Linked DNA regions of Nothobranchius furzeri. The protein of the gene in region 2 purifies or fractionates together with the protein of the main gene of each other region. This does not show direct contact. Links are inferred from orthologs where the notes say so. Each region holds a gene or a part of one and is shown on either strand. Other genes may lie near its edges. The genes, in order: lrrk2, bag5 and dnajb4.

Region 1 (11,160 bases), on a different chromosome or scaffold from region 2:
AGGTAGTTGCTTGTGCCAGTGCCATGCGCAGCAGGGGAAATCACCTGATCTGAGCAGCAGGCCCAGTGCTCGGAGGCCAACCACGATCACTCCGCAGTCTGAGCTGTACCGAGTCAGCACCTTCAGGATCAGTCTGGAAAATAAATCAGGACAGGAAGAAACCTGATCACAGCTGCTTCATCAAAGGTTTGAACACAGTCATGGGAAATGGCCAGATTGACCTGTTAGCCCAGAGCTAGTTATTTACAACACATTGCTAATGAAACCAGAAAATACAGCAGCTCTATGTGTCTAAAGCGGGGTGGAGAACAGCTCTCCTAAAAGAGCCAACAGAAACAGCATGCTAGCTGCTTCTGCTATAATGTTTATAAAAGCATCATCAGAAAAAGCAGTGCTGTTAACATGTCACACGGTGCGGGCGAGTTGAGGTTGAGGTGAGGATCCAAGGTGCAGGGGAAAAAGGCAGGCAGGAACATTCAGAAAAGGCTTTAATGAGGAGCAAGCGAGACACTGAAACAGTGAACAGACGAAGAACATAGAACTGGGAGGGATCAGATACAGGAAGAACTGGGAGACGAAAGGCAGGTGGGAGCAATTAGTAAAGACTCAGGACTGAACAGAGACTGGAGACAGGACAGATTGTGACATAGCAGACACATGAGGAGCCACTATTAAAGGGATAAACCTATCCCTGATATAGGAGCTTCTCAGCTCATAGCAGCCTGAGTGGGGAGGTGGGTATGGCTAGCTCCAGCTCGTTTTCTTAAAGTGACAGAGCCCTGAAACGGATCATTCTGGAAGGTACTGAAACTGTCAAGAATAAAACTGCTGGTGTTGCTCGATGTGACAGGGATTTAGTGCAAGACTGTCATAAACATGTTTTGTATCAACCATCCGTTTTCGGCCACTTATCTGGGGTCGGGTCACGGGGGCCAGTAGCCTAAGAAGGGAGGCCCAGACTTCCCTCTCCCCAGCCACTTGGGCCAGCTCCTCCTGGGGAATCCCTGGCCAGCCATGAGACACAGTCCCTCCAGCGTGTCCTGGGTCTACCTTTAGGTCTCCTCCCGGTTAGACGTGCCCAGAAAACCTCACCAAAGTCAAGGAGGCCTCCTGACCAGATGCCCGAGCCACCTCAAATTATTATAACTTCATAAAAAAACATAATTAAATGTCCCCTTTAAGATTTTCAGCTAATGTTTCTAAAATTGGATCCCCTCTCAGAGGCAGATTCTAAAACATGGAGGCAAAAGGCCACTCATCCTGGTTCTGGTTGCGCTGAAGGTCCAGTCTTGAACTTTCGCCACGTGCTTGCTCAAGATGTTGGGTTGGGTTGGAGGGAAGTTGGGTTCAATCTGCTGCTGTTGTTTATTAAATCAGGGGTGAACTAAGCTGGTCTGAACTGGATAACAGAGTCCAGGTCAGTCTGTGGTGGGACCAGGAGGACCTCCATGTTACCAGAGTCTCTGACTTGTGAACATGCAGGTGACACCACCAGACCAACCAGTCTTCACTTACTGGTGCACTGCCAGGATCTCCCAGTCCACGGCTGCCTCCAGAGGTTGGCTGAGATGCTCCAGCGTTCTGGGACATATTTCAATCAGCTTACACAGCAGCAACCAGCCCTCCTGTCCAAACAAAAACCTCACGTTTGATTTGAACAATAACAATCAAACTGACACGTAATGAGAGCAGAATCAGATGAAACACATTCTAGAGGCATGTTGAGAGCAGTCATTCCTGTCTGAACACATATTCCATCCCATAATGTGGCTTTCAGTTTTAACATGCTGTAAACTTCTCATAAGCCAGAACGCATTACAGTCACAAGACGTCATAAACACGGTGGATCGGGTGGACGGGCCACTGGCGGTTACTTTTTAACCACATTAAGCACGAACAACCTCCTCCTGTAAGGGGGGGGGGGGGCAGATTACCTGCTGGACTCCTTTGCTGCTGATGTAAGATGACAGCACCGTCACGAGGGGAAGGTGAACGTTCTTGTCCTCAAACAGCTCAGCTGCTGCAACAAAGATCAGCAAAAGAGACAACATGTGATAAACCGGAGCACCTATTTTTGTTTTAAATGGCCATGAAAACACACGTGAATAGAACACCTAAGAACACGTGAATAGAACTCATGAAAAGAACACGTGAATAGAACATGTAAGAACACGTGAATAGAACACGTAAGAACACGTAAATAGAACACGGGAATAGAACACGTGAATAGAACACGTGAATAGAACACGTAAGAACACGTGAATAGAACATGTAAGAACACGTGAATGGAACACGTAAGTACACGTGAATAGAACACGGGAATAGAACACGTGAATAGAACACATAAGAACACGTGAATATAACATGTGAATAGAAAACGTAAGAACACGTGAATAGAACATGTAAGAACATGTGAATAGAACACATAAGAACACGTGAATATAACATGTGAATAGAACACGTAAGAACAGGTGAATGGAACACGTAAGAACACGTGAATAGAACACATAAGAACACGTGAATAGAACACGTAAGAACACGTGAATAGAACACGTGAGTAGAACACGTAAGAACATGTGAATAGAACACGTAAGAACACGTGAATAGAACACGGGAATAGAACACGTGAATAGAACACGTAAGAACACGTGAATAGAACACGTGAATAGAACACGTGAATAGAACACGTAAGAACACGTAAATAGAACACGTAAGAACACGTGAATAGAACACGGGAATAGAACACGTGAATAGAACACGTAAGAACACGTGAATAGAACACGTAAGAACACGTGAATAGAACACATAAGAACACATGAATAGAAAACGTGAATAGAACACGTAAGAACAAGTGAATAGATAAATAGAACACGTAAGAACACGTGAATAGAACACGTAAGAACACATGAATAGAACAAGTGAATAGACCATGTAAGAACACGTGAATAGAACATGTAAGAACATGTAAGAAAACGTAAGAACACGTGAATAGAACACGTGAATAGAACACGTAAGAACATGTAAGAACACGTGAATAGAACATGTGAATAGAACACGTAAGAACACATGAATAGAACACGTAAGAACATGTAAGAACACGTGAATAGAACACGTAAGAACACGTGAATAGAACATGGGAATAGGACACGTGAATAGAACACATAAGAACACGTGAATAGAACATGTGAATAGAACACGTAAGAACACGTGAATAGAACACGTAAGAACACGTGAATAGAACACGTAAGAACACGTGAATAGAACACGTAAGAACACGTGAATAGAACACGTGAGTAGAACACGTAAGAACACGTGAATAGAACACGTAAGAACACCTGAATAGAACACGGGAATAGAACACGTGAATAGAACACGTAAGAACATGTGAATAGAACACGTAAGAACACGTGAATAGAACACGGGAATAGAACACGTGAATAGAACACGTGAATAGAACACGTAAGAACACGTGAATAGAACACATAAGAACACGTGAATAGAACACGTGAATAGAACACATAAGAACACATGAATAGAACACGTGAATAGAACACGTAAGAACACGTGAATAGATGAATAGAACACGTAAGAACACGTGAATAGAACACGTAAGAACACATGAATAGAACAAGTGAATAGAACATGTAAGAACACGTGAATAGAACACGTAAGAACATGTAAGAAAATGTAAGAACACGTGCATAGAACACGTGAATAGAACACGTAAGAACATGTAAGAACACATGAATAGAACACGTGAATAGAACACGTAAGAACACGTGAATAGAACACGTAAGAACATGTAAGAACACGTGAATAGAACACGTAAGAACACGTGAATAGAACATGTGAATAGAACACATAAGAATATGTGAATAGAACACATAAGAACACATGAATAGAACAAGTGAATAGAACATGTAAGAACACGTGAATAGAACACGTAAGAACATGTAAGAAAACGTAAGAACACGTGAATAGAACACGTAAGAACATGTAAGAACACGTGAATAGAACACGTGAATAGAACACGTAAGAACACGTGAATAGAACACGTAAGAACATGTAAGAACACGTGAATAGAACACGTAAGAACACGTGAATAGAACACGTGAATAGAACACATAAGAATATGTGAATAGAACAAGTAAGAACACGTGAATAGAACACGTAAGAACACGGGAATAGAACACATAAGAACACGGGAATAGAACACGTAAGAACACGTGAATAGAACACGTAAGAACACATGAATAGAACACATAGGAACACGTGAATAGAACACGGGAACAGAACACGTAACAACACGTGAATAGAACAGGTGAATATAACACATAAGAACATGTGAATAGAACACGTAAGAACATGTAAGAACACGTAAGAACACATGAATAGAACACGTGAATAGATCACATAAGATCACGTGAATAGAACACGTAAGAACAAGTGAAAAGAAAATGTAAATAGAACACGTGAATAGAACACGTAAGAACATGTAAGAACACGTGAATAGAACATGTAAGAACACGTGAATAGAACATGTGAATAGAACACATAAGAATATGTGAATAGAACACGTAAGAACACATGAATAGAACAAGTGAATAGAACATGTAAGAACACGTGAATAGAACACGTAAGAACATGTAAGAAAATGTAAGAACACGTGAATAGAACACGTAAGAACATGTAAGAACACGTGAATAGAACACGTGAATAGAACACGTAAGAACACGTGAATAGAACACGTAAGAACATGTAAGAACACGTGAATAGAACACGTAAGAACACGTGAATAGAACACGTGAATAGAACACATAAGAATATGTGAATAGAACAAGTAAGAACACGTGAATAGAACACGTAAGAACACGTGAATAGAACACATAAGAACACGGGAATAGAACACGTAAGAACACGTGAATAGAACACGTAAGAACACATGAATAGAACACATAGGAACACGTGAATAGAACACGGGAACAGAACACGTAACAACACGTGAATAGAACACGTGAATATAACACATAAGAACATGTGAATAGAACACGTAAGAACATGTAAGAACACGTAAGAACACATGAATAGAACACGTGAATAGATCACATAAGATCACGTGAATAGAACACGTAAGAACAAGTGAAAAGAAAATGTAAATAGAACACGTGAATAGAACACGTAAGAACATGTAAGAACACGTGAATAGAACACGTGAATAGGACACGTAAGAAAGGTTTATTGCAATCATAGACATCTATGAGTATATTTTGAATGAATAAATGAATCTAACCACACACTCTGATTAGAAACTATTCAATAAGAACTGACTCTAATAAATAAAGCTGATTTATTGAACAGAGAGGTAAAACTACCTTTAAGAGCATTGCTTTCTGCTGCTTTTCTGTATTAAAGGTGCTGAGACCAGAGTTAGTCCTGTTCTTGACGCTATCGGGACTTTAGTCCTTTTTTAAACACCACAGCTTTAAAAAGACATGCAAATGAACACAAGTCAGCTGAGAATAGCTCGCTTTGACTGTCGGATGCAAACTAAATTTGAAACCTTTGAGACTTTTGCTTGTGGGATTTTGGTGAGACCGGAGACAAGCCCCGCCCCTTTGGAGCTCCACAGCTCAGGTAGATGTCACAGTAGAAACACAATTTCACCACATTTGCTTAATGACTTTGGAGTTTCTTCAATGAAACAATAAACTGTTCATGATGCCAAACAAAGTCTCCAACAGCCTAAAGCTTTTATGTCTTTTGCAAACAAGCACAAAAACAAATGACATGAAACAGACACGTCTGTCTCCGAGTCCCATTCTGATGTAGGACTTACAGTTTTATCTCAAATCCTCTCAGAGAGCACTAGCATACCCAAGCGTCCATAAACCAGTTTTTACTTTAGCTCAAAAACTAGAGCTAGTCAAACTAGCAATACAATGCAAAAACATCAAACTGTAAACTTCTGCTACTCACAGTTTAAGAATACTTTCTCGCGGTTAGAAAATATTCTTTCTGACTCTCCTCATGTTCGCCTTCAAGGAGAGACTCACTGATGTGTGGTTACCATGGCGACCAAGATGAGCAACTGGGAGCAGGCTTAACATTTCCATTGATTATGGTTATCCACCAAAGTGTGGCGTTTTAGTTAGATCTTTGGCAGCATTCCTTCACACCTTTTAGAGCTGGTACATTTAAACACACAAATAACTAACTTGTGCAGGATTTGATGCTAAAGGGAGTGAAACGTGTTTCATGTGCTGTACACAAAAGGGCCCATGTTAAGGAGAGGGCACAGGAGTCCATCAGTGCTGCAGCACGGCCCTTAGTCCTGTGGGTTGCCAGCAGCCTGGTGCAGAAACAATGAACTTCCTACCGTGCGCGCTGTGCGCCAGGGAAAGCAGATCCTGGAGGATTTGGATCAGATTGCTCAGCTGGCTGTCCTCTTTGGGATTTTTCAGTCGCACCAAAAGTTTCTTCAGCTTCTCCTCCAACTCCTCCTTGTTCTCCATGGTGAAGATTTCCAGCTGGCTGACGTGCGTGCGTCAAAAGCGCACAGCCCTCATCAGACCCGACAGCTTCCCGCGGTGCTTCTGTTTGTTAATGGCACCAATATTACGCATTAGCAGCATGGCACAGCCGCTACAGGCGAGGCTGTCGTTGGTGAGTGTCGGTCCCCACGCTGCACCATCTTGGCTTAACTTCCCTTCAGCTAACAGCTTAAAAAAGTCTGCTCCTCTTCGTCGAGTCGTAGTTTTTCTGTTTCTTTCCTGTGGGAAGGACCACTGTTTCTGTTAGCAGGCGTGTTTCTGCTTCGCTGAGATCAAATCATATGACTCGAGTTAAAACAACTTCCCGGACATGAAGGAGGGGGGAAACGGGAGACGCAGCGACACAAGCGTGTATGGTTCCTGCTGGAGACTGTAACGTTTCTGAGTGATGTGTAAACCTTCTGCATAAACCTAGGAGAGAGAGAGAGCCCCACTAAAGCAGCACTGATTTGCGCCGTAACGCCTTAATAAGATCTCCCATCGTATGTTTGTGCAGGAAATTCCATTATTTTTCCTTGGATAGCATTTGTAAATATACTTGTAACATCCTATTACATGTTACATAAGTTTAGTTACAATTATTAAATCACTGAAAAAATATCTGCCGTCTTTTGATTTTGTGTTGCACATTTATGCCCATTGTTACGGTATTTAAATGGCATAATGGAATGCCCAAAAGTTACGTAAGGACGACATCTAAAAATAAATAAATAAAAACCAATCAATAAATGAACTGATGAAAACTGTAAAAACAGAGACGTTTTTGTTTATTTTAAGTAATAAATGCGTAAAACAATAACAAAAATCAGTGTCCAAAGACATCAAATTAGTTGATCAATCAATCAATCAATCAAGGAATTATTTTCGGATGTAAAACAGTGAAAATTAAACCAAATAAATATATCAGCATAAATAACAGAATTAGCTAAACGCTATACCAATAAATGTAGTAAAATCCAAAGAAGTGTTCCACAATTTTGTCATAATCCCACAATAAAAAGACAATTTCCCCTAACTAATCCAAATTATTTAGGATACTCAGATTTCATATTAACATATAGGCTAGAATTAGAATGAGGAAACTTCCAGATTTTCATTCATTTTCTGACTTGTTCAATCATGAGTAACTACATGTTTAGGTTTTATATACAAAAAAGAAACTTTTAATAATCAAAATACATAAACAATGTATTAGGTGGATGTTGAGGATGATGTTCATACTGAAACTGTTACTCTTTCAGAACCATTCAAGGGAAACTATGCAGTTTTTATTTGCTTTTAGCACCCCCAAGAGTCCTTTTTAATTCATTGTCGTAAAAGCTAAACTGAAACTTATCTCCCCGCTGTGCGCTCGATCGTGTTTTCAGCACCTTCAATTGTGAACAGCTCTGAAGGTGAGAAGTAGGGTGTCCACAAAGCAGTGGAACTGAATGTTAAATTTCTGGAATGTGTGACCTAGCAAAGGAAGGTAAATAATGGACATAATGGGCCCCAGGACAGAGCCCTGGGGCACGCCTCTAGTAACTGGGGAGGGGGCAGATCTGAAGGGATTGAGTTCCATGAACAGAAAATGGTCAGAAAGATAAGAGTGGAAAAAGTTTAGTAAGTTATGGGAAATACCAATGCATGCGAGCCTATATAGAAGAATAGAATGTGAGATGGTATTGAAGGCTGAGCTCAAATCAAGGAGGATGGAGAGTAAACCAGGATCAGCTGCAGGAAGAAGTTCATTGGTGATTTTTACAAGTGCAGTTTCTGTACTGTGACCTGGACGAAAACCAGACATCTCAGAACTTTGCTAAGCTGAATCACATTCTGAACTTGAGACTGTTATCCACCATTCATCTCCTCACACTTAGCCCACTGCAACTCCCTTTTCACGTGTCTGAACCGTCTACAGTTGGTTCAGAACGCCTGTGCTTGGCTTCTGACCAAGTCCTCCAAACACACCCACATCACCCCACTTCTCCTCCAGCTTCACTGGCTGCCAGTCAACTTCTGGGTTCATTTCAAGATCCTGGTTCTGGTCTATAGGGCCTTACATGGACAAGCACCATCTTACATTGGTGATCTTCTTAGTCCCTACACCCCCAGCAGGTCCCTGAGGTCCAGTGATCAAAGCCTACTGGTTGTGCAGCACCAGGCTAAAGACCAAAGGTGACAGATCATTTGCTGCTGTGGCCCCCAGACTGTGGACCTCTCTCCCCCTGAGCCTGAGATCAGTGGACTCAGTGGTCTCCTTTAACCCTCCCACTGTCCTAATGGGTGTGACCCCGCGAGGAAAGTTGACCATTGAGCAGGGTTGATGGTTTATCCCTTGGATCCATGTGGCAGGGGTGAGGAGTGAGCACCACCTCACCCCTGCCACGTGGACCTCAAGGGATAAACCTTCAACCCTGCTCAATGGTCAACTTTTCTTGCAGGGTCACCCATAAAGACAGTTGGAGGGTTAAAAAGCAGCTGAAAACTCATCTGTTCCGGCTGGCTTTGGTGACCTTCATCACCACCCTTTCCCTTTTGTGCCGCTTTTGGTGTGACCTTCTGTTCATCCTCTTCTTCCTCACTGGCTTCTCTTCAGGCTGCTGTTTCTACCATTTCTGTCTTTCTCAGGATCCCGTGATTGCCTTTTCTTATTCTTTTTTTCCCTTTACATTCGACTTTGTGAGACTTCAGAGCAGCAGTCTGTAGGCTGAAGCTGCAAACGGGGTGTCCTGCTCACAAGGGGTGGAGGGTGTCGTGACTTTTCATTAATCCTGTAAAGGGTCATTTTAGCACATACTGGTACAAGAAAAGGATTTAAAATATGAAAAAGTTGCTCAGTATGCCTTTACTGGACTTTAATTGCTAACAGTTTTAACACAAGGGCCTACTCACTTTATCCTTATAGAATTGATGCTTTGCATGTGTTATTCTCTGATTTTGTTCTACTTTTGACTTATATTCAGTTTGTGTTCAGATTTGTTTGTTTGTTTGTTTACTTATTTATGTGCTAGATTAAGTTGTCCTTTTGGCACCTGTCATCCCTTAGCCATGGGAATTTTCCAGGAGTGGCCATGGCCACCTCTTGGGGGCGCCACTGATGTGTGTTAACCAACAAGACCAAGGTGTTGGACCAGGACCTTATTTGACTGCCGGCGTTGTGCCATAAATCGACTGGTTGCCAAAAAAGGATTAGCCACCGCGGGACCCAAATGGTGCTCGCTGCAGAACCACAAAGGCGGAGCTGCACCAGAAGGTGGAGCTGCACCAGAGTCAGCCCCGCCCATTCCAGAATCAGCCCCGCCCATTCCATAAGAGTCAGTCCAATTCCTTCTAGTTGTCAGACTTGATAGCATTCTGGAACCAAAGAGGGTGTTATAGCTAAAAAATTGAGGACGGAGTTGAGAAGTTAATTGAACAGTTTTTGTAAAGGTTCCATATAATTAAAAATCAAACTTTTGGAACTTTTAATCATGTTATATTGTCATTTCCTCATAAGAAACACGCCAAAGCCATTTTTGGCCTCATTCATGCATTTCTTCCCATCTCAGCTTCAATTTGGTCTCCTCCCCCGAAGAGGGTCTGGTCTTGGTTCTCAAATCTGGATATTCTGTGAATTTTCTGACAAATTATTTCTTAAATGACTTCTTCTGAGACACCGCCGGAAAAACCATACATACCATCTACAAAGACACACTGGATAGGACAATTAAATATAACGCCACTAGGCTTTTTTTAAGATGTGGTGGTGTAGTGGTTATAGAGTCAAGTTGACATGCAGTTTTGCGCAGGTTCGCCTCCCACTAGCAGAAATATTAGGTAGCTTACAACCCCTTTTCCTCATTTCTAGCTACACTTGCCAGTACTATGTTTACAACAATTTACTGGTATACCGTTTAACATATAATGACTAATGTGTTTATTTATTTATTTGTTTATTTAGCCAGTGTGAGTCCATTTGTGAGCAGAGTTTCAACTAAAATACTGTTTAGGAACGACCAAATTCAAAGAACTTTTAGAGACATAAATATTTTGCTGAAAATAAACATTACAACTAAAATATAAACAAATTAAAATGTTTCAGCTGGCTAAATGGATTGTTGCCGACCTCACCGAGAATCGAACCAGCACCAGCTGAGGGGAAAGCAAAACTTAAGTTAAACGATCTCACCACTGGACTACCAGAGCACGTACGTAAATGACAGATGCTGTTGTACAACACTTTTCTTGGAGCGGCTGTGGGTAGATATTCGTTAAAAGAAACCTTTTCATTTCGAGATATATTCAGGCTTTGTCATGTAGCAAGTTATATTTATCTTGTTTAATTGAAGCATAGAACATAGCATTAACGACTGTAAACTAGTAACAGCCGTAATTCATGTGGGTCAGGTTAGTTTGCGATAAAGTTGGAAAAACAAAAACGGAAGTCAGTGGGCTAGACTGAGTTTGCGTGAATGGGCGGGGCTGACTCTGGTGCAGCTCCACCTTATGGTGCAGCTCCGCCTTTGTAGGTCTGCAGCGAGCACCCTCTCCCGCGGGATGGCGCACGGTCAGGGTAATTGCATTTCAAGGAAGCCCTCCTGCAATTTTTACAGGCGCAACTACAAGAGAAATTACGGTGGACCTGCCC
Region 2 (11,160 bases):
CTGAAGCGCAGAATACGGAATGCAGAATATCAGCAGGGGGACAGATTGAGACAGAATGTCATGCGTCTGTGACAGTGTGTGTGTCCTGTCACTGTGACCTGATTGATCATGCGCCCTGGCTACTTGGACAGGGGAGATCTCTTTTTGGCTGACTGATTAGCGCGCATGACTTTCACCCAGGATTCTGGGGATCGAATCCCGATTGGACCATTTTTTATATCCGCCACAGATCTCTCTGAAGAACACAACATTGACGGCTTCAGCAACGCTGTGCCACTCTGTGGATTTTCTTTTAATTGTTTTGCAAAAGCACTTCCTTTCATTTCTCCACTTCACCCACAGGTACCTCAACTTCTGCTTCTGTGAAATAGCGCCTCCTTGATCTGCCTTGATCTACGGTCACCATGTCATTTGCGGAGCGCTGCAACAAGCCGGCTTATGTATATGCATGAGATCCACAAGGCACTTTGCATTGACTATTTATGGCAGTAAGTGGGCGTGGTGAGAGCGGGATGTGACTAAAGAGCAGCTGAGAAACATTCTCGTTAGTCTCCGATTTATGAAGCGGAGATTGCGTGCAGCTGTGTGTACTCCATGTTTGATAGATCACAAACCTGCTTGGTATAAGTACTTTTTTTGCTGAGCTTAAGTACGATTTTAGTAAGGATTCTACGCAATGTTTGATATATGAGACCCGTGGCCCTCAGGCCCAGTCAAACACCTGTTTCCCTGCTGCCACACACACACCTGACTGACGAGTGATTAACATGCATCTGCAGCACTTGGGAAACACTGGGAGGGGTTAAAGGTCATTTCCAGGCGATTTTGAGTCGGCCATTCTCCAGAAAGATAGATTATTCCAACTTATTGACAGGAGTTGACATCCTGGGAAGTTCATCAGAAGGTCATCAGGGAAGGCTCAGATAAACTTCCAAGAGCTCCATCTCAGAGTCCAGGGGCATCAGTTAGCAGTTTAAAGGTTAAAGTACCTGACAGAAAACCAGAAATGACTTCACAAACATTTCCTGTTTGGACTGGTTGTGGGACATGGTCTTTTCTGTCCTACATGACAGCTTGACTTAGGTTTGAGGAGTTTTATCCGAATGAACCAGAAGACCTCTGGATCACTGATGTGTGGACACATAAAATCGGTGTAGACGCTTACCCATAATTCACCTCAGTATGACGAGAGAAAGCCACACAGCTCATACTAGCTCTCAGTATGGATGTGGAGGCTGATGGTTCTGGCTCCATCATGAAGTCTCCAAAGTCACCTAAGTCTTCCAGACTCAAGACATGAGTCCATCGGTCTGACAGGTGAGGTTTGGACCAAGCTAAACAGAACCACGATCCAAAGACAGCAGCAGATCTACTAAACTGTAGTGATGAAATAATGTCCAGACCCGAACCTGATTAAAATTCTCAGATGGGACCTTAAAGGGGCATTATGGAAGTCTGACAGCCAAAACATGTATAGAAATAATAAATGTCTTCTTCATACATTCTCCTGCAATGCCCTGGTCCTGTAGAATGAGCCCTGGCATTTTTACTGTGATTGCCTGTTTTTCTGTAAAGTCACTGAAAAAGAGAGATGCTCGGGTCGAGCAGGCTGCTTCATGCGCGTTCACGCTCAGGCATAGCCCGTAGCATTTGCTATCCGTAGCTTTAGCAGCAGAGAGAGAGGCAGTGCCATTTTGTCGCTGTTCCTAACGCCTAGTGATGAACCTAGCTACATTTCTGAGGACCCTTAGCTACTTTCTGTAGAACTTTTTTCTAGATATTTTCTGCAAATTAGCAACAAAATAGCCATTTTCACTCCGAACCGTTCTTTGAACGTTGTTTTAGCTGTCATCAAGGATATAAATGTTACAGATACTGAGGAAGTCACTGGCGCTTTAGTTCACCTAGTAAGATGTCTGACTCTCGTGCAGAAGACCCGGGTTTGATTCCGGGTGTGAACATAGTTCATTTAGAGTTTATTTTTTACATTAATGATATATTTTTTTACAGTAAGATGCCCACATTTTTATTTGAGACTCATCGAACAGCATTGAATTCACAGATAAAAAAGATGTGGGTTCAACTTTCATTTTGGAACAATTTTTCAAGCAAGGGAAGGGAATGATCTGAGCATGCAGGAGGACTGACCCATCATTAACCTTTGTCGGCTGTGCTGAAGAGAAAGGTACAGAAACAAAATATTTAATTAATTAGCTGCACTCTGTCCTCCGGGCCACACAAACGCACGCACACACACACACACGGTATTTTCGTTAAGGAGCGTGCACGTACAGCATGCGCGCCTCGTGCACAAGCCTACTATTGAAGCTGCCGTTACGCTTTTGGCCTGAGGGGGCAATCACGAGCATAAAAATTCAAAACTCTGTAAAGTCCCTTTAAGAGAACTCAGCAGGAACACATGTCTGAAAACCTCAATGAACCGGAACAGCGGAATGGACCAGAACTCCCCCAGAACCTCAACACAACGTGTTCCACACTACAGGCACATTTTATTTAGGAGACAGACTTTTTGCTTTTACTTAAACTCTAGATGGTGTCTCTGGTCTCAGACACCTGATGAGATGTACCAGGTGAGCCCAATTAAGGAGAAACTACTGAAAAGGATTTTCCATTTTCAACCAGCTTGGCAAGAAAAACTATCTCTGCCTCTGAAAAGCATGAAACAGTTGAATGCCTTGGGTAAGGTATGAAAACCTTCGATATTTCACAAAAACCAAAGTGTGGGCAGAAAAAGGAGAGAATAACCTTAACTCTAACCCATGACCACAACCCTATAGGAAGCTTTTGCAACATCCTCTAACCTTTGTGGACTGCAGAGGCAGATCTCATCCAAGTAGGAGGTCTGGGAGGTGATTCTGACTTCCTGCAAAGAAACTTAAGCAGAAACTCTCCAAAAACTCAATGGATGCAAGAATCGTAATGCAACTATCAAACGAGAGGCCCTGTGTTAAAATGTAACCACACCTATTAGGATGGTTTTAACTGAAATAGCTTTTGATCTCAGTGAATATGGCCCCGATCCGACAATCAGCCATCTTTAGTTCCAGGGATTGTAATTCTGAATCATTAGATTTGACTGACGGGCTCTGACGCTCATGGTACCTGTCAGTCAAATCTAATGATTCAGAATTTCGATTAGGGATGTAAGAAAATATCGATATGGCAATATATCGTGGTATTTTTTCCTGCAATGGTTGTATCGATATTCAAAAGCCGTGTATCTAAATTTTGAGAGAATTTATTTACATGCAAACATTTGTCAAAAAATTTGCATATTGTGATAAAGTTCATTATTGTCAGTAATGTACTGATAAACATTAGACTTTCATATATATTAGATTCATTACACACAACTGAAGTAGTTCAAGCCTTTTATTGTCTATAATATTGATGATCTTGGCATACAGCTCATGAAAACCCAAAATTCCTATCTCAAAAAATTAGCATATCATGAAAAGGTTCTCTAAACGAGCTATTAACCTAATCATCTGAATCAACTAATTAACTCTAAACACCTGCAAAAGATTCCTGAGGCTTTTAAAAACTCCCAGCCTGCTTCATTACTCAAAACCACAATCATGGGTAAGACTGCCGACCTGACTCCTGTCCAGAAGGCCATCATTGACACCCTCAAGCAAGAGGGTATGACACAGAAAGAAATTTCAGAACGAAGAGGCTGTTCCCAGAGTACTGTATCAAGGCACCTCAGTGGGAAGTCTGTGGGAAGGAAAAAGTGTGACAGAAAACGCTGCACAACGAGAAGAGGTGACCGGACCCTGAGGATGATTGTGGAGAAGGACCGATTCCAGACCTTGGGGGACCTGCGGAAGCAGTGGACTGAGTCTGGAGTAGAAACGTCCGTAGCCACCGTGTACAGGCGTGTGCAGGAAATGGGCTACAGGTGCCGCATTCCCCAGGTCAAGCCACTTCTGAACCAGAAACAGCGGCAGAAGCGCCTGACCTGGGCTACAGAGAAGCAGCACTGGACTGTTGCTCAGTGGTCCAAAGTACTTTTGTCGAATGAAAGCAAATTTTGCGTGTCATTCAGAACTCAAGGTGCCAGAGTCTGGAGGAAAACTGGGCAGAGGGAAATGCCAAAATGTCTGAAGTCCAGTGTCAAGTACCCACAGTCAGTGATGGTCTGGGGTGCCATGTCAGCTGCTGGTGTTGGTCCACTGTGTTTTATCAAGGGCAGGGTCAATGCAAATAGCTATCAGGAGATTTTGGAGCACTTCATGCTTCCATCTGCTGAAAAGCTTTATGGAGATGAAGATTTCATTTTTCAGCACGACCTGGCACCTGCTCACAGTGCCAAAACCACTGGTAAATGGTTTACTGACCATGGTGTTACTGTGCTCAATTGGCCTGCCAACTCTCCTGACCTGAACCCCGTAGAGAACCTGTGGGATATTGTGAAGAGAAAGTTGAGAGACGCAAGACCCAACACTCTGGATGAGCTTAAGACCGCTATCGAAGCATCTTGGGCCTCCATAACACCTCAGCAGTGCCACAGGCTGATTGCCTCCATGCCACGCCGCATTGGGATTCCCGACCAAGTATTAAGTGCATAACTGAACATAATTATTTCAAGGTTGACTTTTTTGTATTAAAAACACTTTTCTTTTATTGGTCGGATGAAATATGCAAATTTTTTGAGATATGAATTTTGGGTTTTCATGAGCTGTACGCCAAAATCATCAATATTAGAAACAATAAAAGGCTTGAACTACTTCCGTTGTGTGTGATGAATCTAAAATATATGGAAGTCTAATGTTTATCAGTACATTACTGACAATAATGAACTTCATCACAATATGCTAATTTTTTGAGAACGACCTGTATGCTAACATCAGTACATTCAGTACCATACCCAGATGCACATTTCTGTTTTTGTGTCCTTTTTACTATTCTATTTTTTCCTAAGTAATGTCCCAGAGCATCATAGTATTCACAGTATTTAAAATGTCTAGAATATTTCTGACAATTATCTGTTTTTTCCGTACCGTTGCGTTGGTCTCTGGGTCTGGGATCGTGTTTTTCTCCTTGCTGCTTTCATCGTGATGCCTGTTTGGTTCTGATAAGCTCGCTGTCGTGTGGCGTTGACTCAGTTCAGCTCTGTGACGTTCATCTGTGGACAGGACCAGCTCTTCAACAGTTAAAGCACAGATAAATGTGTTTAAGCCTTTACTTGTCTCAGGATTAGTAGACAGTTTCCACACCACCCTACTTTTTCATGGTAGGAGACAGAAACAGACACCCTAAATAGCCTCCTAGTGGCTAGCTGCAGCAGCTTGGCTGGAACACGTCTAATTACCGTGTTGGTCCCAGACTGACATTAATTTACCTTCACAGTTTTGTATTTTGTTTTTGAAATGCAGCGGTCCACCTTCAGGCCCAAGCCCAGCTCCACACATGACTGGATCGGTCCACCGAACCCTCTGTCCAATCTGCGTCCCATCGTGTACCACATCCCCGAGAAGGAATCCGATCTGGAGAAGCGGCTGAGGATGCTGAGGCAGGAGACGGAAGACTGGAACCATGAGTTTTGGACCAAGCAGAACATCAGCTTTAGCAAGGTTAAAATGCTGCTTACAATTCTTTGTTGTCACCAGCAGGTGGCAGCAAAGCTCAATGGAGAAAATCCTTTGGAAAGTTTTCTTTGGAGTGAAATGAGTCGATGGTATCAGGTATGGTACAGTGTCCTTAGGAGGCTACGGTCACCTGCCGTACGAGGTCACGTGTTCATATTAGGGAAGTGTAACATGACTTGTGCTTCCAGCTTGCAGGATTTTTACAGGTGCTTGAAATTATAGCAGACGTCGAACAGTCTTATTTCCTTGATGAGACAAAGAACTGTTTTGAGCATGTATGTAAATCAAATCTGGCTGCACAATCCTAAATCTAAGCCCGAACGTGCTTGAATTTGATTAGGCAAAGATGTAATATCAGTGCGACCGCGTTATAAACTTGCCTTTGGATTCATTTGAATAGACAGACTTTTCCAAAAACACAACTGATTGATATAGTCTCTGCAGGAAAAAGAAGCTTTCATCATTTCGCATCTGAAGGCCAAAGGTTTGACTCTGCGTGACGAAGACGGTGAGGCTTCTCATACATATGTTCTGGTGTTTTTTACACAACAACGAAATGAAACTGAAAATGGAGTCAGGACTGTGAAAATGCTGAATGAAATCCACTTTGTGTCGGTTTGCTCCGCTCAGGAAGACGGCGGTCCCTGAACAGCGAAGAGATGGCTCTGTTTTACAAAAGCTTTTTGGACCAAAACAAGCTCCGACATGCAAATTATAACAGGTGAGTTGTTTTTGCGTCGGGTGTCGTTCCCCCCCCCCCCCACGCACACCTCTGTGGAGCTTTTCTCATAACGAGCTGCTGCGTGAGCCGGACACTTTGGACGTTTATTGTCAGTGTTGTTTGTGTTCAGGCTTTATTAGTTAAAGCCCAGGAAAAACCTCCACAGCATCATCAAGCTTCATCGTATTTATTATTTGCTGTCTCCTCCCCAATCCAGGGAGTGGTACCGACGTAACTTCAGCATCACGGTGCTCATGGCCCGAGTCGCTGTCACCAGCATGTGGAGGACTTTTACCGAGAGGCACCACAGGAAGAACAAAAGCTCTCCGAACACCTGACCGCATCATCCTGTTCAGTTTCATTAATTTTAGCTGCTGTCTAGACCTGCAACTACAAAGTTTGAGGTATTTATGAGTGACTATTTAAGAAATGTACAGAGAAGTTTCAGGGACATCACGTAAGGTTCTGAATGCTTTTGTCATTTAAAACACAGAAGCGTGCAGGGCTCCTGCTGCTTAGAGTGCTTGAGCAGATGTGAGCACAATAACATTTATAAATTCATGAAGGTCTCATTTGTTTATGTGCACTATAACAGGAATGCATGAGTTAGACAGCTGCTTTCTCATAAATAAAAATGTTTTATTTGTTTAATTTTAAGGGTGTTTTTTGGTGCAAAAACCAAAATAAATAGTTTGACTCAGACTTTGACCCGCTTCAGATTCATAATGATGCTTTAATCCCCGACAACCAGACCAGTCGCCTTGGCCCCACAACTGATGAGGACTAATGGTAAATGGTAAATGACCTGTATTTGATATAGCACTTTCTAGAGTCCTGGAACCCCCCAAGGTGCTTTACAACACAATCAGTCATTCACCCATTCACACACACATTCACACACTGATGGTGATGAGCTACGATGTAGCCACAGCTGCCCTGGGGCGCACTGACAGAATCGAGGCTGCTGAGCACAGGCGCCACTGGTCCCTCCGACCACCACCAGCAGGCAAGGTGGGTTAAGTGTCTTGCCCAAGGACACAGCGACAGACAGTGGGGCTCGAACCTGCAACCTTCCGCTTATGGGGCGAGCACTTAACTCCAGTGCCACCGTCGCCCACTAGAAGTGGGGGGGACACAACCGGGGGGGGGGGGGGGGGGGATGTCAGGATTTTTACAGTAAGTGTAAAACTACAGCCTAGAGGCTGTATGCAATGTTGGGACTGCAGAACTGTCAAGTACACAGGTGGCAGGAACAGCCAATCACACGTTACTTAGTGTCAGCAGAGCCAATAGATGAGCTTCTGGACGCTTCAACACAAGCGGTTGTTTTCCTCTTGGTCCTAATGCTAACTAGTGTCTGTTTAATATAGCGGAATGCAAAAGTGCAGGGGACAGAAATTTACTTTGGAAAAATGGGGGGGGGGGGGGGGGGACGTGTCAATGATGAAGAGGCTCATCCTCACCCATCTACGCTCGGTGGTGAGCCTGGATATAGACCCACTGCAATTTGCATATAAACCAAACATGGGGGTGGAGGACGCATTCATCTACCTGCAGCACCAGGCTCTGACTCGCCTCGAGATGTAAAACAACCAGTGTGAGAATCGTGTTCTTTGACTTCTCAATTCATTGAACACCATCCATCTGTCTACTGCAGCAGAAGATGAGGGGTGCAGGAGTGTACAAACATCTGACTGCATGAATCATCAACTACCGCACCAACAGCCCATGGTATGTGATGCTGCACAACTGTACATCTGAGGTGGTTGTGTGCAGTATTGGAGCTCCTCAGGGTTCAGTGCTCTCTCCCTTTCTATTCCCCTCCTACAAGTCGGTCTTCACCTACAACACCAGCAGCTGTCACCTCCAGAAGTTCTCTGATGACTCGGCCATTGTTGGCTGTGTGTCTGAGGGGAATGACCAGGAGTGCAGGTCAGTCATCATGAACTTTGTGGACTGGTGTGAGCGTAACCACCTTCGCATGAACACCAGTAGGACAAAGGAAATGGTGATTGACCTCCAGAGAATCACTCCTCACTCACAAGTAGGGCTGCAACAAACGATTATTTGGATAATCGATTAATCGGATGGGGTCTCGACATGATTAATCGATTAATCGGATTACATGGGGAAATTTTTAAAAACTGCTAGGGAAACGTTATTTCTCTCCTTCCTTCACTTTATTTAACACAACATTATTAGAAAACAGTTCAATAGCAGAAAAACAACATGCCATCACCTAAATTGTCTTATAAGGTGTATAGACAGAGACCCTATAAGCTACATCTATCTGTGACCTAAAATGCTTGGTCCAAGTTAAACAGCTTAAGGGCAATTGTCATCTGTTTTGTTTGATCTCATCTGTTGACATTTATTATAACTGGGGATGTCAAACAACTAATTTTTAAATGTAATTAAACATAGGCTGTGAATTAATCAAAATTGATCACTATTTCCAAAAATGACTGAAAAAATACCAAATAAAACAAAAGTAAATGAATGCCATTCTCCTTGTGATGATGCCCTGGGCAACTGCCATAAAGTCACATCAAGAAATGCTGCTGATCATGCCAATGATCCCAAATAGACTCACATTAGGCCACATGAAAGCAACTGAACCCAAAAATATATTAACCAGTATATAACTGCACTCTCACACAACACGCCTGCAGCAACAGTTAGGACTCCTCCCTCCCTTTTAAAAGCGTTTTTGCTTCTGAGGACATTGTGGTTGTAAAGCCACATGCTAGTAGTCTGGCCCCGGTGTGATCAACCAGTTTCTGCGGGAATGTGACGGCGGAACCAGGGCCAGATTAACACTTTGTTGTACCCTGGGCAACAATATTCAAGGGCTCCATCATCACGACCCGAGGATCACCATAATGTGGTCACATACAGAATATTTTACTGTAATATGCAGTAAATATACTCAATACTTGAATGCCTGACAACACGTAACCCGCTCAGAGTAACCTTTGACCCACCTCGTGTGGACTGACCAATGAGGAGAGGGTCTTAACTTGAGGCCCTCTCTTCATTGGTCAGTCTGCATGAGACTGACTCTCAACTGACGTTCAGTCGTAGGCAGCGAAGCGTCTCTGTGCAGCGCAAAAGCCCGGGTGGACAGTTTGTTTAATGTAGGGTGATCATATTTCCATTTCCAAACAAGAGGACAGGGGATCTGTGCCTATGACGTCACACTATGGCAACGCCACACAAACCATGTTGGGACCCATTTTTTGTAAGAACTAAATTAATATCAGATTCTGCCAATAAAAGGGCTCTAAAACAATTCATATGTAAATATTTTGCATATTTAATGCAAAATCTCATTTTTCTGCTTTAGTGCTGCAACAAGGTTTTATTAATAATAAATTACTATACCTTTTGTTTTACTACAGCATCGGTAAGCTTCCTGTGCACAGATTATTAGGATGCTTGTTTCAGCTGTGAGATTAGACGATAGGGTCAATGAAAAAATAAGTTGTCCCACACTCCATGGAAACTTTCAGAGAATCCACTAATAGTGGCTTTCACACGGTTTTGTTACTTTTAGCAAGTTTAGAAAAGCAGCAGATGAGACATCATGTCTGATAATTTAGTTTTTCATCTGATAATATTAGAACATGTCAGTAATGTCTGAGGGGCTTTTATAAACACTGTATAACTAACACTACTGGAGAGGGCATGAACTACACAGAGGCTTCTGGGGAGCCCAGTTATGGGGGGGGGGGGGGCATTTTGCCTTGGCCCCCAAATTGTCTTGAAACGGCCCTGGGTGTGTGACTGAGTTTTGAAGGTGATCTGAATTGTATAAGATGTATAATTATGTTTTTTACAGGTAAAAACGTGTAATGGAGATAAATCTACCTACATTTTACTTTTCAACACTTTGATTTGTTTTCTTGTTTTTATTTAACTATTTTCCTGTCCTTTCTGTCTCTCATCTTCCTGCATCTCCTCTTAATTGTCCAGAAAATCTGTTGCCTGGATTCTTACCTTTTCACCTCATCAGTTACTTTTGAACAGATCAAAGGATCTCCTGACCGCAAAGCTCAGAGCGCATTTTCGATGCTGCGTGAGGTGACATCACCACAGCACAGGTGATGAGCTCCGCAGTAGCGCGCTTCAGGCACAAATAAGACAGAAAATGGAGAACATGTGCGGACATGAACGATCGTGTGCTAATTATAGTTTTTTGGTTGCGCCACTTTGAGAATGGACCGTGCGCTGGAAGCAGCTGCCTGGATCGCTGCGCAACAACGCGCTGTGCCGCTCTCTGCTCAAAAGAGTCCAAAAATGATATAAATGATATACTATAGAAAACTTTTTTCCGGTTCCCCTGATGTGTAGGATATACAGCTCCCCCATAATTCGATCCCTGCTCCTGGATGAAAAGCCGGACATTTTCATCAATACAAGAGCCCGCAGTCCGGACGCCCGGACAGAGAATGAAAAGTGGACATGTCCGGGGAAAACGGAACGTACGGTCACCATAGTCCTCATAAAGCGGGAAATTATAGATACAGTATTTTGCTCGTGCCCTGGGCCCTTTAGAGTTCGTGGGCCCTGGGCAATTGCCCAGTTAATCCGGCCTTGGGCGGAACCGGTTCGCAGCAGCGCAAGTCTGCCGGCTCTCCCTCGCGCTGATCTGCCGGTACCGGCTCTCCCTAGCGCTGATCTGCCGGTACCGGCTCTCCCTCGCGCTGATCTGCCGGCTCTCCCTCGCGCTGATCTGCCGGTACCGGCTCTCCCTAGCGCTGATCTGCCGGTACCGGCTCTCCCTCGCGCTGATCTGCCGGCTCTCCCTCGCGCTGATCTGCCGGT
Region 3 (10,040 bases), on a different chromosome or scaffold from region 2:
TCCAAAATGTGGTGTGTTTTATTTTTTAGCCATGTGGACATGTAAACTGGTTAAATCAAATGTATAAATTAACCATTGTAATGCGGATCATGCAGGTTATTTTAGGGTCAGACAATTACTGATTATGGGATTAGAATACAGATGTTTTAAAATATAAATTAACCCCTGCAACACAGGAATATGTGGATAAAAATGACTATTGGGTTTCTGAATATTATTTTGTCATTTTAAATCTGTTTGGTTGGTGGCAGTAACTGTTAGAGGATTACCAGCTGAAAACCTCCCTCACTGAGCAGGTGTGTTTACACTCCACCTGCACTGCATGGTTGTGACTCAGCAGTTACACACACCTTCATCACACAAGGATAATACATACATACATACACACACATATATATATATATATATATATATATATATATATATATATATATATATATATATATATATATACACACATACATACATACATAAACATATACACATATATGTATGTATGTAGATAGATAATACACACACATGCCTATATTACATTTATGATTGGGTAAAGTAGCGCCCCCTGGTGGGAAAGGTGCTTGTATACATTTCCACTCATATCTTCACAACCAGTGACTTAAAATCAAACTCACTTACAGTATTTTGTTTTATTATTATTAATTTCTATACATCAAAAATGTAACTATATACTGTAATTTACAACAACTAAATATTCACATCAGACTTTTAAAATATAGATTCAGTTTCCTGGGCTATAAAGAACCTTTTTTTTTTTTTGCAGTGTTGCTACACAGACTACAAATATTTCTAAGCAAATGAGCATTCTCCTTAAACAATCGTGTTTTATACACTGGTTTACTTCATGACGAAGGATTCTTTGAATGTCTGAGTTATTTTTCAGATGACTTCATAGGAAAACATGCATTTTAAAATTCAAGTGTCAACGGGTAATTGTCCAAAATACACTTTAACTTTCCTTAGTTCCTCTGCCCACAAACAGTAAGAGAGCCTCTGATTCAAAACTAACTAAAATAGTCATAAATGACAGTTTAGAAACCGTTGCTTCAGAGATCAACAGTTTGTCGCTGAAAATTTATTTGGCAAATCCTTTCACAGCCAAAAAGATTGCATTTAACCAAAAGAAAACTTTGACTGGAAAAGTCAGTTTCACATAGCAGTCCAAGCACAAGCAGTCTTTCACTTGCACCTATTACCAGTTTGGCAGCATGCAAATACAAACAGCTCAAAAATAGAAATTGCACATTCATCAGTTGGGAAATGTCAGAACCATCCTTGAGTTAAAGTGTTCCTAATGGATGGGGGGGGGGGGGGGGGGTCGTCACGCCGTGCTCCCCTCTAGGTCGGTCCTTGTCCTTTTGTCCTATGTAGGCAAGTGCCGTTTCAGCACATCCTTAGCGTTGCCAGGCAACGTTTCAGGAAAGTTCACGTCAAACTCCACCACCAGGTCTCCTCTCTGCTCTGGGTTCTTGGGGAGGGGGAGACCTTGTCCAGCTACAATTCTCCTCATGCCAGGCTTGATGACATCTGTGATTTTCATGTTGGAGGTCTTCCCGTCTATCGACGACACGGTGACCGAGCATCCGCACAAAGACTGCAGAGATGAGAATGAAGGTGTTAGTGAGAACTAGCGGGAGACTGAGACCCACAACATCTAAATCAGCATCTTTCCTTTCATATTTCCTTTTGATTCCACATGCAAAACCTGTTTTAGTTCAGTGAGTGACACTTCCAAAGCTGTGAATCCAAAATGAACACTCAGGTTAACAAGAAGACGAAAAAAGCAAGAAGTATTCTTGCGTGATTTAGTTTGACTTCTACAGAAGACTTCTCGCAGCAACATTTTATTTATTTGTTTATTTGTTTGTTTGTTTATTTATTTGTTTGTTTATTTATTTATTTGTGAAGCTTTTACTTCCTTACAAAAATCCTTCAAATTAGCTGCAATTGTAAAAAACGATAAAGATTTACACCAAGCTGGAACAAAAACTGTACCGATTTCAGATCTGGCATCTCAGAAGTGATGATTTTTGTTGTTGTTTGATTAGCAGACGCTCTGATTTGTAGAAAACTTGTCACTGGCAAGTGATTCATTCAAATCCACCTTCTAAACAGAATTTATAGACATAAATGCCCAAATGTTGATATTACGAAAATATACAAGTTCAAAGATGTTGGATTTGGGCTTTAACAGTGACAGTGTGAATTTTCCCTGGCGATAGGGGGCAGTGCATACCTAAATCATTGCAAGGAGAGGTATTTTTGTGTAAAGACCTTACCAATGGATACCCATTAGGGTCAAAAATCCCTGGGAGCGCAACCTTCAGCAAAATGACATCACATCACTCCCTTTCATCACTGGCAACGAGGGAAGAGGTAAATGTGTAAAACAACAACTTTTATGAATGGCCAAAGTTTCGTAAATGTTATGTTACAAATCAATAAATGAGTTTTGTTCTCACGGGCGCCGTAGAAGGAAACATGGCGTCTAATATGGCGTCGCCCAGAGACTTAGACCCGCTCCCATGTATTTTAGACCAGATTTTTTTGGTATAGCTGCCAACAACTGGGCATCATTTTAATTCATTTTCAACAACATTTCGATGGATATTTCCAGAGATTAATGGCAAAAACTACACATTATCACTCTAAGGAAATTATTTCATTTACCTTTTTGCTGCAGAAATGATCAGAATATGTCAAATTATTTCATTATTTCAGTTTTAACCCCATACTCCTCATTTAAAGAGAACTGTAAATGTATATTTAGAACTAAAACGACAAAAATAGGCTGAGTGAATCATGCACCTGCACAGCTGATCTGCTACTGCTGGAACATAAAAGGTCTAATATTAGGAAATGAGACGGTGGGATTTAGAACAGAGAGCTGATGAGGGTGGGAGGGACCACATAAGCACTTCTTACAACGTGTGCATGTGGGCGATCCTGTTTCTGATGGTCCAGATTACATAAGGGAACAGCTGAAATGTGTGTGTAGTTCAGAACGATGCTCATTCAGCATCACTGTGTGTTTTCTGTGCTTTTCGGGCAGACCACCAACAGCTTATTGATCGTGACCAGGTTTCACTGCGTTGGAGCACCAGATCTGAAAGCAGCACCCTCATCTGGTTGTGAACTTGTTCTAAAACTGACTAATCATTCCGTCATCTTCTATTAATAGAACAACAATCAGTTAAAAGGCTAAAATAGGAGCTCTCTCACCTGTCTCAAACTAACACGAACAGGATACACGATGTTAGAGCCTTCTCTCCTAAAGTGGGGGTGGGGTTTGTCCTTAATGACAAAAACGATGTCAGCAGGAATGGCGTTGGGCGACTCGTCCCCCTCCCGCGGGAACGTGATCTTGGTTCCCTCCTTCCAGCCTCGTTTGATCTCAATAGTGAGGATCTTATCCTCCGTTCGCATGGTCCTGCCGTCGGGGTTCAGCCTTTTGCGAGAGATTTTCAACTTCTTAGTGCAGCCCTGGAAGACCTCCTCCAGGGTGACCCTCAGATCATGGATGATGGGCGGGTCCTGCTTCCGGCGCTGCTGACCCCCGAGGCCGGTGTGGCCTTCTCGTGGAAAGCCGTTCATGTTGAAATTACTAAAGGAGCCAAAGGGGTCATTTCCATCCACCTCCATGTCATCGTCGTCTCTGCCATTCGCTTTACGCCCGAAGAACATCTCGAAGGGGTTGGAGCCCCCGAAGAAGGTGGCAAAGGTGGCATGAGGATCTCCGTGGAAGGTGTAGGTGAAGGTAGGGCCCTGTCCATCTGGAGCAGGTCCATTTCCCCCCTTAAGACCTGATGGACAACAGAAAAGACTCGTCAGTAACTACATCAACAATCACCACAACATTAATGCACCTTCAGGTCAAAAGACAAACTTTTAGGATACTACTACTAATACTCCATTAAATTTGAATAGATTTAATATTTAAAGGTGTGTTATGTGAAACACATGAATCTCACTACCGTTGTGCGAGTTCAATGAATGTTGCCAGTTATGGAGAAGCACCAGAAGATTCTAGACGACGAGTCATACACAGTAGATAATTTCAAATTGCTAGTAATTATAAAAGTACTTTGAGCTTATTTTTAGAGCAGACTGTTTGCTTCAAAGTCGCGTTAACTTGTTAGCTCAACATTAGCTTAACTTTAGCTTCTAGCCTTCTTCAACCAATATTAGAATAAAACAAAAGGATGCTGTGGCTTCTAAAGCCGGGCGTACACTGTGCGACTTTTTCACTCGCAGCGTTCAGCTTCAGCTCAAACTGTACGACTTCCTCGCAGGGCAGATCTCACGAGTCGTGTGCTCAAACTGTACGACCCAGTTCTCGCATGCGACCTGACTGCTCACACTGTACGTCTGGTAGCAACACGTCGGCCCTAAAAATGTGCTAAGAATAGCAGTTTTTACTCAACACGTCAGACTTTTTTGTCTTGCCTGTTGTCCTTCGGGAGTGCTGCAGGAGGACACACAGGGATTTATGGGGGTTGGATGAGGAAAACGAAATAAAGAAAGTGAATCTGTGTTTTGTGATCAGTTTAATTTGACATGAACATGACAAACACGCTTTCTTGACAATCTTTGTGAGTAAAAAAAACGTGTAGAAACAAAAACGAACAGCGTGAGTTATTAGGGAAATAGCGAGCGACCGGCCGGCGTTGATGCAGGATTGCGCGCGCATGCGCCGTGAGCGGTTCTGATACTTTTTGGATCGTAGCTGCTCGCAGCTGCTCGCAGCGCCGCTTCAACAGTGCGATACCCTCACGAGGGACGAGCGAAATATTAAACACACCAGAAGTCCCTGTGACCTCACGACTGCTGATCGGCGGCTGGTCACGTGGTGTTAATCGCCTCTCGTAACCCCCTGTACACTACACGACCGCTCGGCGCAAAACTCGCCCCGATGTCGTGGCTTCTCGCACGACTGGAAAATCGGCTCAAAAAAGTGAAAAAGTCGCACAGTGTACGCCCGGCTTTAGGGGTACAAGAAATAACTTCTGGGCTGCTTCTTTTTACTGGCTTAGGATCTTTACAAAACGCTGCTGCTGGTATTAAACTATGAATGCCTGCGCTGCAGCGTTTGCCGGGGTAGACTCTGCAACTCCATAGGCTCACAGATTGTAAACAAAAACTACGTCCCTTTTTGCTTTTTCAATAGGAGAAAAACTGACAATTCCCCAACTGACTGAGAAGGAAATCTGTTTGTGTAACCTTCCTTCCAAAATGAGTTAGACAATAGTGTTTATGATTATTTTACTGTGTTTTTTTTACATATTGCACCTTTAATCTAGTTTATAACTTGAAAATTGGCTTTTAAACATAAATATTACACAATTTAGTCTTCCCGAAGTATTATTTCCTAATTTTGCACACAAGTCAAATCTTTGGACAGAATTCATTTTACCCAAGTCCAAAAATTATGTTTGAAAATATATATATATGTGTTTTTGATGATAAAAATAAAGATTGTTGCTGTTACTGCTAATTAAAGGTTATTTTGTTTGAGGTTATTTTGTTGTCATAAACTAGAGCTTTATATTTTTACCTATTATCACAATCTTTGAGGCATTTTGCAGACTATTTTTTTTTCCTCAAAAGAAAACTTGTTGAAAATAAATATATTGTTTTTCACTCAATCACAAAGCATGTCTAGACATTTTCACACAAAAGAGGAGCACAAAGACCCGGTCTCAGTTCTAATCATGAGGCTCAGCCTTCGTTTTCGTCTCCTGACTAATGGTCTCTCATTTATGAGAGGTATGGAGACTGGGGGGCCAGCTGGAAATTCAAATGGTTCTCAAATCCCTTGTTGAAGGACAAGACAGGGACCGGTGCAGGATACCAAAAGGAAAAGCTTCACTAGAACCTGTCTCACCAAACAGCAATGAAATTAGGACTACATACGCTAGATTTAATGGTGTCCTGTGGTGAAGACAGCTTGTTACACTCCTGATAACATGCAGAAGACACTACCATAGCGGGTTTTGGGGAAAAAATAACTAAATCTGTGTTTAAAAACATAATTTATTTTAAATTAAAGCAAATTACTCATTTTAAATTGCATTAAGTAGACACAGCTGAATCCCAGCAAACCGAGCCTGGTAAAGGACACAAGTATAAATGCATCAAGCATCAAAGCTGTCACCGGCTTATTTTGTGAGAAACTTGCAGAGAGACTGTGGGATGACACTGGATGGGTGGCAAAGTCTCCATTTGGAGCTTTGGGAGAGCAGTGTTGAACAGAACAGCTAGTTCCAAGCAGAGCTTTAAATAACTTCACTCTGAAATGTCATCATTTTGGTTTTCTCTGGGTGATTTTGGGCATTTCAAACTGTTTGATGAAGGTTTTAATCATCAAAGGTTTGAGATCAGCAGAACATCATAGATGGCCTTCAAACATCATTTATACCAGCTGGAAAAGAAAAATATAATCTTTATTACAAATTTGATCAAATAGTCACTTGGAAGAGATCATAAAGAAAATAAAGATTTCTTGACTATTTCCCATAGCCAAACGTAAGAATTCCACAGTGAAATCACAAAAGAGTCTAATGTCTCAATCATGTTCAAAGGAAGGTTATACAGAAACAGATTTTGTTCTCAGCTGGCTGAGGGGTTGTCAGTTTTTCTCTTTTCAAAAAAAGAAAGAAAGCGGGATGTAGTTACTGTTTACAGTCAGTGAGTTTGTGAGGTTGCCAAGTCTCCACTGATTTAACTCTGCAACGCCGGCATTTGTAATTTGACACAGTCCGGCAATGTGCTTCAGAACTGTTTAAAGAAGAAAAGCCAGTAAACCTGGGTGACCCAGAAGTTTTTTCTTGTACCCCTAAGAAGCCACGGCATTCTTTTGTTTTACTCTAATACACCACGTTTTGGTTTTAACTCTGCTTCAACACACCTGATTTCAATCAGCAGGTGACTAACAGGCTTCTGCAGAGCCTGATGAGCTGCTACACTAGCCTGGCAAGCCAGAATAAATAAATGTAAAGCAAGAATTTGGTCTAGTTCGCTAGGCTACTGCTACACACCACTTAATCTAGTGTGTGTTGGACTAGTGAAACCACTAAAACATGCTGGATATTCACCCTTGAGGCCCAGAATTGAATAGCCCTGCTCTAGAATCTCTAGTGGCTAACGTTAAGCTAACAAAGCTAACGGTGAATTAGAAAAAAATGGACGGCTCTGAAAATATCTCAAGCAACTTTTTCAATAACCAAATACTCAATATTACTGTGAAATTTATGTGTGACGTGCAGTGCTTAATTTGGAAATCAAACGTTCCTGGAATGCAAATACTGACGTCAAACCAAAGTTCACTAAAGGCAAAATGTCACAAGCGTGCCGGTGAGTGAAATGGAGGTGAGGATCCACACGCGGGTGAGGAAGGAGGCAGGCAGGCAGACAGGAACATTTAAAGGGTTTTAATGAGACACGCAGGACAATGAAACAATGAACCAACCAGACAAAATGGACTAACAGGGTTTAAATACAGGAGGAGCTGGGACCTTGGGTGATTGGGAGACGAGAGGCAGGTGGGAGCAGTTAACATGGACACAGGACTGAACAGAATGGGGAGACAGGACAGGGTGTGACAGTACCCCCCCACCCCCCACCCCCCCAAAAAGGGCGGATTCCAGACACCCACAGGAACATAGAGCAGGGCGGGAGGAGGGGGACCCGGAGGGAGGGCCGAGAGGGACCGATGGAGAGGAGGCAGGGACCAGTAGAGTCCGGGGGCCTGCGCCTGGGGCAGAGGAGGCGACGACAGGCTCTTGGGGGCCTGCGCCTGGGGCAGAGGAGGCGGCAACGACGGGCTCTTGGGGACCTGCGCCTGTGGCAGAGGAGGCGGCGACAACGGGCACTGGGGGCCTGCGTCTGTGGCAGAGGAGGCGACGACGGGCTCTTGGAGGCCTGCGTCTGTGGCAGAGGAGGAGGCGACGACGGGCTCTTGGGGGCCTGCGTCTGTGGCAGAGGAGGAGGCAACAACGGGCTCTTGGGGGCCCGCGCCTGGTGAGGGCAGGACTGGCGGTGACTGGAGGCAGAGACGCCGGAGGACACGTCTTTGACTTCTGGCCTGGAGGCGGCAGCGACGACCTCAGGGCTGGGGGCGGCGGCGACGACCTCAGGGCTGGGGGCGTCGTCGTCGGCCTCTGCGCTGGAGGCGTCGGCGTCGGCCCCTGGGCTGGAGGCAGCGGCGTCGACCTCTGGGTTGGAGGCGGCGGCGTCGACCACGGGACTGGAGACGGCGGCGTCAACCACGGGACTGGAGACGGCGTCGACCACTGGACTGGAGACGGCGGAGACGTTGGACTGGAGGGGACGTCGACCTCTGGACTGGAGGGGATGTCGACCTCTGGACTGGAGGGGACGTCGACCTCTGGACTGGAGGGGACACCGACCTCTGGACACGAGGGAGCGTCGACCTCTGGACACGAGGGAGCGTCGACCTCTAGACACGAAGGAGCGTTGACCTCTGGACACGAAGGAGCGTCGACCTCTGGACACGAAGGAGCGTCGACCTCTGGACACGAAGGAACGTCGACCTCTGGACACGAAGGAGCGTCGACCTCTGGACACGAAGGAGCGTCGACCTCTGGACACGAAGGAGTGTCGACCTCTGGACAGGAAAGAGCGTCGACCTCTGGACTGGAAAGAGCGTCGACCTCTGGACTGGAAAGAGCGTCGACCTCTGGACTGGAAAGAGCATCGACCTCTGGACTGAAAAGAGCATCGACCTCTGGACTGAAAAGAGCTTCGACCTCTGGACTGAAAAGAGCGTCGACCTCTGGACTGGAAAGAGCATCGACTTCAGGACTGAAAAGGCCGTCGACCTCCATCGACTTCTGGTCCGGAGGCGTCGACTTCTGGTCCGGGGTCGTCGATTTCTGGACCATCGACTTCTGGTCCGGGGGCGTCGACTTCTGGTCCGGGAGCGTCGGCTGCTGGACCGTCAGCCTCTGGACCGTCGGCTTCTTGACCGTCGATTTCTGGTCCAGGGGCGTCGGCTTCTGGAGTGGAGGAGGAGTTGCTACAGACGAGACCACTTGGACAGGCTGGACCGGATGCGGTGCGACCTCCGGGACCACCGCTGGAACAAGATGCGGTAAAACCTCCGGGACTACCACGGGAACTGGATGTGGTGCACCCACCGGAACCACCGCTGCAACAGGATGCGGTGCGACCTCCGGGACCACCGCTGGAACTGGATGCGGTGCGACCTCCGGGACCACCGCTGGGACAGGAGCTGATTGAACTGGTGTTGCCGGAAACTGGGAGAGCAGGGAGGATAGATTGTCCAGCTGGAGCTCCTGGAGACTGAGGCTCTGATGGAGTTGGGGCAGCTCAGCTCGGAGACCGACGAGCTCTGCTGGGTGGACTGCGGGTTCGATCCTTTGGCCAAGAGATGAGGGAGCTGCAGACTGGACCGGAACCTCCTCCTGGTAATTCGGGGAGGATAGGGTGTCCAGCTGGAACTCCTGGAGGCTGACTAGCTGACGGATCCAGCCAAGCTCCGCCTGGAGGTCGGCGAGCTCTGTCAGCTGGGCTGTAGGCATGGTCCCTCCGCCTGCAGATGATGGAGGTACTGATTGGACTGGAGACGGGACTGCTGGTCTGACTGGGGGCGGGTCCAAGCTGGCTTGCCAAGCCGGAGCTGCAGCAAGCTGGTGGCTCCGTCCTGGGACCAGGGGTGACGGTGGAGCCCGGCATCCTTCCACACGCCGTGGGCCAGCTCCGGAGGAGCACACAGCCAGTCTGGTGCCCACGTAGCAGGAGCGGTCTAGCTGCGTCTCCTGGTCCAACCTCACATCTAGCTCTGGGAGGGCGGAGGGGATCGTCGCAGCCGGGGTTCAGCGACGGCGTCTGCGGCGAGACAAGGCCAGAGGAGGAGAAGCCGGCCGGTGATCTGCGGTTAAAAACTGGAGCAAACACTCCCAAGGAAGAACCTCCCCGCTGGATCCTTTACAGGGTTGATTCATTCTGTCACAAGCGTGCCGGTGAGTGAAATGGAGGTGAGG

Evidence for each region.
Region 1: the proteins of bag5 (region 2) and lrrk2 purify together in Homo sapiens (co-immunoprecipitation; 3 studies listed by BioGRID and IntAct, with this or other methods). This does not show direct contact. The link is inferred for Nothobranchius furzeri from reciprocal best matches to the Homo sapiens genes BAG5 and LRRK2.
Region 3: the proteins of bag5 (region 2) and dnajb4 purify together in Homo sapiens (affinity purification with mass spectrometry; 4 studies listed by BioGRID and IntAct, with this or other methods). This does not show direct contact. The link is inferred for Nothobranchius furzeri from reciprocal best matches to the Homo sapiens genes BAG5 and DNAJB4.

The regions. Positions count from the first base shown.
Region 1 is NC_091744.1:48,418,484-48,429,643, reverse strand, and holds the start of lrrk2 (leucine-rich repeat serine/threonine-protein kinase 2), read right to left. Parts: upstream 6,951-11,160; 5' UTR 6,513-6,950; coding exon 6,377-6,512; intron 2,021-6,376; coding exon 1,935-2,020; intron 1,626-1,934; coding exon 1,516-1,625; intron 134-1,515; coding exon 45-133; exon of another isoform or gene 26-44; coding exon of another isoform or gene 1-25. UniProt on the Homo sapiens protein: Serine/threonine-protein kinase which phosphorylates a broad range of proteins involved in multiple processes such as neuronal plasticity, innate immunity, autophagy, and vesicle trafficking.
Region 2 is NC_091758.1:10,650,329-10,661,488, reverse strand, and holds the start of bag5 (BAG family molecular chaperone regulator 5), read right to left. Parts: upstream 5,400-11,160; 5' UTR 5,366-5,399; intron 5,168-5,365; 5' UTR 5,078-5,167; coding exon 5,025-5,077; intron 2,959-5,024; exon of another isoform or gene 2,823-2,958; intron 1-2,822. Other genes in the region: coa8 (cytochrome c oxidase assembly factor 8), read left to right, coding at 5,400-5,597, 6,057-6,120, 6,243-6,333, 6,551-6,671. UniProt on the Homo sapiens protein: Co-chaperone for HSP/HSP70 proteins. It functions as a nucleotide-exchange factor promoting the release of ADP from HSP70, thereby activating HSP70-mediated protein refolding.
Region 3 is NC_091751.1:41,965,656-41,975,695, reverse strand, and holds the end of dnajb4 (dnaJ homolog subfamily B member 4), read right to left. Parts: intron 3,819-10,040; coding exon 3,238-3,818; intron 1,610-3,237; coding exon 1,379-1,609; 3' UTR 1,308-1,378; downstream 1-1,307. UniProt on the Homo sapiens protein: Probable chaperone. Stimulates ATP hydrolysis and the folding of unfolded proteins mediated by HSPA1A/B (in vitro).